Linked DNA regions of Bombyx mori. The protein of the gene in region 1 purifies or fractionates together with the protein of each later gene. This does not show direct contact. Links are inferred from orthologs where the notes say so. Each region holds a gene or a part of one and is shown on either strand. Other genes may lie near its edges. The genes, in order: 14 kDa subunit splicing factor 3b and Phf5a.

What was found.
Region 2: the proteins of 14 kDa subunit splicing factor 3b (region 1) and Phf5a purify together in Homo sapiens (affinity purification with mass spectrometry; 4 studies listed by BioGRID and IntAct, with this or other methods). This does not show direct contact. The link is inferred for Bombyx mori from reciprocal best matches to the Homo sapiens genes SF3B6 and PHF5A.

The regions. Positions count from the first base shown.
Region 1 is NC_085111.1:9,664,776-9,667,903, forward strand, and holds the end of 14 kDa subunit splicing factor 3b, read right to left. Parts: intron 1,036-3,128; coding exon 804-1,035; 3' UTR 595-803; downstream 1-594.
Region 2 is NC_085114.1:14,383,819-14,387,487, reverse strand, and holds Phf5a (PHD-finger 5A), read left to right. Parts: upstream 1-1,627; 5' UTR 1,628-1,682; coding exon 1,683-1,734; intron 1,735-1,808; coding exon 1,809-1,999; intron 2,000-2,442; coding exon 2,443-2,532; 3' UTR 2,533-3,149; downstream 3,150-3,669. Other genes in the region: ATP-dependent RNA helicase DDX47, read right to left, coding at 1-60, 231-350.

The DNA.
Region 1 (3,128 bases):
AATCGACGACTTGGACGAGGACGGTGACCGGTGCTTCAAGTGCCTAAAAGCACCGAAAGTAGATCCGAAGGATCCGACAAGAAATGTTTCGGACGACGACGGATTTGCTTTGCTCCGTCGACCTGGGTCGGTACATATGTAATGCGCGGCGACCACGATAATAGGGTTATTGTATCGTGCCGCTTTGTCGAAGTAGCATTCTGACGCTGCTTTACTACTTACGTACCGATTCTAAATTTAGATCGTCGTGAAGGTCGAGATTCCTCACGTACCATGACGCTGCGATAGCTATCCTGCAGTAATGGGATTGGATGACCTGGAGGGTTTATATACAAGCAAGCCGCGTGATGTAAGTCGCATAGTGTATCCTTGTTACGATAGGACAATTTACTTCGTTACAGATCATGGGGTAGAATCGACCGTGTAAGAACGCAGCCTAGTCGCGTATTGACTTAATGTAGAGACTGAATATCATCCCTCTGAGGATGATGCCTAGTGTAAGGAAGAACGTGACTCTCGCGCAGAAAGGACAGGTTGAGACCAAGTACCAGTACCTGGTCTTTCAACCTGTCCAACCAATAATACGCAAGTTAATAAATTCTACAGGATTTACTTCGATTAGAATTAAAAGCTAAATCAAAAAATTATGGTTTTTATCATGGAAGACATTACGAAAGCGCGTTGGTACATTATTATTTAATGATAAGATTTTTATAGGTTCTCTGGCTTAAAATCTACACAGCTATACAAATCAAATAATTAAAAACAATTGTACTTAAAAAAAACTTATATTTTATAGTTTATCATTTACGCAGATCTTCACTAGATATTCCATATTTCTTTTTCAATGTATCAATTTCTTCTTGTTTCTTATCAATATCAATACCTTTAAAGGCTTTGTTGGATCTATAGTAGAGTACAACCAGATACCTGTTACAAACATTAAAACCAGATAGATGGTCACAGGCATTTTTTGCATCAAATATATCTTCATAAACAACAAATGCTGTGCCTCTTGTTTCTGGAGTGTTCCCTCTGAAATTGAAAATCAAATGATTGCTTTAAAAATATTTTTCTTATTAGGTTAATATAAAGTAAATCAAATGTCAATTTTATGACCAAATGCTCAAATTTGACACACATACACCAAATAAGGTAGTAGAAAGTACCACAAGTACTACACCAAACAAGTAGAAAGAAATCATATCATTAATTAACATAATCACACTTCATTACTATGACTTACTTATTCTTAATTTAAATAGCCAGACAAATTTTACTATGATATTTTTGGTCATTTAATAGAAATTATTGATAAAAGAGTTCCAGTCTTTCACAACTAAATATTTTAAATCTCATTATCTATTGCTTAGATTTTAAAATGAGCTCAGAATCCACCTGGTGGAAAATGGTTAACACAGCCCAAAGTCAACAATCTGAATGCTGCTACACACCAGACATAAGCTTGAAAAGTTAGTTGTTAAAACTAGCAATTTTACCATTCAAAGTACAATCTGTTCAGAAAAATATGCAGGATGCTTTCTGCCTGTTAAGGCTTACAATTCCACCAGTAATTATGAATATTTATAAATTTTGCAGGTTTCCTTTTTATATAAAATGTTATTCTTTCATCATTGAATTTATTTCATTAACAAGTATGAAATATGTATTTCCTTACAAAAAGTAGTAAGTGTCTGCAGTATTCAAAGACCAATTTGAATGTTTCACTTGATAGAAGGTACATCATGTGCTTTATCAATAGAGAGGGTTCAATAATAGTGTATTTCATAAAATGAGTTTTCATAGCTTTACAAGTTTACAACTAAAAAAATTCTAGCAATTTGTCTAAGTATAATTACATAGAGCCTATGCTCACAAGCAAATTTCACAATTCACTATTAACATACTGTGATAAAAGAAAATAAAATAAATATGCTTTATTGCTGTGAGCTCTCACAAGTAGAAACTACCAATGGTATCTGAATCTAAACATCAGATAATTATACATTCTGATTTTATACAATAGAATTGAGTATTCGACTCGACAAACTTCGACTACGACAAATGGGGGAATTTTCTTTAGTGCTATCAACGTAAATCTATTGTGTGTTGTGTTATGCATCTGTATGGTTATATACGACTATTTCCTGTCCATTTCTGCATCAAATCACTCATAAAATATGTTTTGAAAAGTATCACAGGAGATTACTCCAGTTCTACAGGGACTTTGACCTAAGACCTACGGTGTTAAAGGAATGCCCTGTGAGTAGAGGAGCTTCATTAACCGCTTGATATCCTGTCGTCAGTGGACTTATTTAGAGAGAGAGAGAGAGAGAATACACTTTATTGCACACCAACACAATTTACATTTTAAAAAAACAAACAGTCAAAAAGCACATATGTACAATAGGCGGTCTTATCGCTAAAAGCGATCTCTTCCAGACAACCGTTTAATTTACAGAAATTCTGTAAAATATAAAAAATATAGCAGGTGCGGTGTACCATATACAATACATTATTATAGAAAATATATACATATAATAAACAGATATATACCGTTTACATAATATAATATATACCAATATACATACTTACATACAATACATACTAATATATTTACACACACTTATTAAATCAACAGTATGGAAATTATAAATGATAATGATGCAACAAACAGCACTAAGCAGTTATGTAGTGTTCCTTCACCATTCTTTTAAAACAGTTTAAAGTTGGAGCACTTCTCACTGCATCCGGCAGAGCATTCCACAATCGAACCGCCTGGACGGTGAATGAATTGTCAAAGAATGATGATGAATGCACCGGCATTTTCAGTCTCAGGTTATCTGATGATCTCAGAGAAAAATTATGCGTATCACCTAGGAACTCGAAACGTTCTTTGAGATATGTAGGGGTATGGGGGTTAAAGAGAGTACAGTATAGTAATGAAAGGACATGAGTATTGCGGCGAAGGCGAATTGGTAACCACTTGAGCTTAGTGCGAAATTCAGATATATGATCATATTTCCGTAACCCAAATATGAATCTTATGCAGAAATTTTGTAGCCGCTCAAGTTTATCAAGTTGTGTTTCGGTTAGATCCGGATAGCTGGAATCAGCGTAGTCAAGAA
Region 2 (3,669 bases), on another chromosome or scaffold:
CTTAGAGGGTTTCTTCCATTTCAATTCTTCACAAGCCTCGCAGAGTACGTCTACAACTCCCTGTGGTTAAATGCAAATATAATCTTATGTTAATAACCTCAAAAAGTGTTATTTTTATTCAACGTTGAAGCAATTTAGTAAATCTAAGGCACCATTTGATATTAAAATCAATAAAATTATATTACAGTATTTACTTAGTATTACAAACACAGTTTAATGTAAAAACTTACCAAATCCTTAAATGTTATTTTATCATCTTCAGTATCTTCGTTGACATTTTCGGTTGGAGTTTGTTCCACCTCACTATCCTGGTTGGTTTCGTCTCCATAGCTTTCCTTGTCTGCAGTCATTTTCTCTAAATTATCATTGTTTTGGGGAATACAAAAAAGACGCGAATATTGAAAGCATGTGTTTGAATTAGGGGTATGCTGATTTCTGATTTCTGATTTCTGAATCTATCACATATAATATGTGACGTATGTGTCACCAAAGAAGTAAAACTGTCAAAAGTATACTTGACAATTAAGACCGATCGCAAACCGGCAATTAGACTTTTTGGTGGGAACGCGAGGAGTGAAGTTGTGTGATTTGTTTTATTTTGTCTATTTAGTGTTTCTTCAGGTTTAAATGTGTAATAACGGTGGTTTATTAACTGTTTAATATCTGTGACAGTGCACAAATGTGGGAAAATGAAACAAAGCCACTGGACGTAACTTCTCGGGATCCTCCAAAAAGTCCACTGAAAAAATCTCAGTAAATGACCACCATTTTACTGAGATTATATTTCATCCCATATCATCTCATCTCATTTCATTTAATTTCATCCCAGTTGATTGTTGTCTCAAATTAATCATCTTCATTTCATTTCATATTATCGTTTTCCATAAAAATACCCCATATTATATCATCTCATCTCATTTCATTTTATGCCATGTTTCATAAATTAATACACTTCATTTCATAGTATCATATTTCATAAAATAAAAAAAAATATATAAAAGGTTAGGCTGTATGCTATGATACCTTTGCCTTTCCATTTGGAAAAATGAAACTACTACTACTACTTATCTATGGTGCCAAATTATAGGACATGGCTTCGGCCTTAATGAAATTTTTATTTCAGGATATGAGTCGTCTATTATCAAAGGTGGCAATCTGTGCATTTGGACAAAAAAAAATTATTGATATGTCAATACAGATTGTTTTGAATATAATCGTCTCCTTCAAAGAATACGGTTCAAAACCTGCATTAAATAAAGGTTAATAGTTAACCTGTTATTTATCTAAGATGTCGTTCCGAAGAGTTTTGTGACTGCCAATGGAATACAAAGTCAATAATTCGTTTTTTCTGATTTACCAATCATTGTCCAAAAGTCAGATTGCCGGCTTTGATAATAGTCGACTCATATAATTTAAATCCTATAAGACCTGGCTTTGGCTTTATTATAAATTTATATCAGAAATTATATAGAACAAATGAGGCGGTATGGGCTTAGATCCCTTTGCCTTTCCTAATAAGGAAAAATTGTAACAAAAAAATATATCTATGGTGCCACTTGTCAAAATTACCGGGTCAAAATCGTCAAAATCTTTGTAGGTTATTCGATAAAAAAACAGTAAACGGCAAGTTTGATAATAACAATCAAAGAACATTCGCCAGCAGACCAGACCTAACTAAAAACATGGCAAAGCATCATCCAGATTTAATTTTCTGCAGGAAACAGCCCGGAGTCGGTTAGTAGTATTAAAAAATGGAAGACAACCAAGTTTAGTGTCGCTTGTTTTAATGCTATTTCTTATTTTTCCAGCTATTGGACGTTTATGTGAGAAATGTGACGGAAAATGTGTGATTTGCGATTCTTATGTGCGTCCGTGCACGTTGGTTCGTATTTGTGACGAGTGCAACTATGGCTCGTATCAGGGGCGATGTGTGATTTGCGGCGGGCCTGGAGTATCTGATGCTTATTATTGTAAGGAGTGCACGATACAGGAGAAGGATGTAAGTTTTAATTTTGTAATTTTTGAACTCAAATAATCGCATCGAAATCATTAATTTAAATTTCCTCAAATCAAAAAACATCGTTATATTTTGATAGTTTAAAAACTCACAAGAAACTAGTCAACCTGACTTGATCAAGTGACCTGATAATGATTGTGTGCGTCCCCAATATCATGTACATTAAGCCAAGCCTAATAAAATGTATAGCCAAAAGGATTGTGGCATTGAAGTGGCATTGGGCAGGACACATTGCTCGTAGAACAGATGGCCATTGGGGCCAGAAAGTTCTTGAGTGGCGACCGCGTATCGGAAGACGTAGCGTGGGTAGGCCTCCCACAAGATGGACCGATGGACGATGGCAGTGGACGTCTGTGCGCTGATAACAATAATAATAATAATAATAATACATATTATTATGCTAATAAAATTGTTATTTTTCACAGAGAGATGGCTGTCCAAAGATTGTCAATTTGGGAAGCTCTAAAACAGATCTGTTCTACGAGAGAAAGAAATATGGGTTTAGGAGACACTAGCATTAGGTTTCTTTTTAGTTTTTAAATATTAATTTCTGCAAAGTTTCTGTTATTTAAAATAATAAAAACAGAGGTTTTTCTCAACTAAAGTTTGATTGAAATACAAGTTTGTTTTTATCAACTACTTTGTTGTTGACTTTTTAAAGCCAACGGCTATTATGATCAAGTATGGTTTTCAATGTCTAAAGAGTTGCAGCTCGGGTCCAAGAGAAATTCACATATATTTTTTTAAATTCATTCATTTATACAATTGGATTGTTGTTATCGATGATATCTGTTATTTTTTTACAATTTTTTTTATCCTTTGTTTATTCAATGCAGATTAGTTTTCATTTTCCAACTAGAAAGAAAATACTTGAAAAATACATTTAGTTTTTGCATTTAAATTATTAAGATTCATTTTTATTTTTTATTTTTCTACTAAATTGTCAATAAAGATATTTTTGACTACCATGTGCTCTGTAAAACTACAGACAATATGTTAGCAATATTCATGTATGTAATGAGAGTGATTGTACTGTGTGAATGTTGTCTGTCATATTTTGAAAACTATGTTTCTAGTGTGTACTTACATTAAGACATTATGTAATTATTAATAAATGCATTGGTATTACACATTTAATGGCCCTACACTACCATTTTCTCCTTCGTCATGGGTCTGGGAAACAACCAAACATAACTAAGTAATTTCTAATCAAATATCTTTTGACTATCCGGGAATTACACATACCTGGACTATATTATATCTTTATATATATATATTTCTTATGTGCGTGTGTGTGTCACTGAACTCCTCCTTAACGGCTGTGCTGATTTGAATGATTGTGTTTGTATGCATTTGGGTGGCACCCTGGATGGTTTAGATTCACAAATCAACCCAGCAGAGGGCGCTGCAGTCGGTATCTAGGTTATTTATCTTTCCTAGAAATAATTTATATGGTAAAACAACATTTGCCAGCTAGTAGTATTATATAGTACTAGTCAGTAACACTATATAATTACACAATGAATTAGGTGGTCAAGCAAATATTTTAAAGTTATGGTATTGAATGAGAAAACTATTATATCGAGGGGTGAAGGGGGCTATTTGGTTTAAGCGACATTTTTGCAACTACAGGAGAGCCATTTAAACTAAAG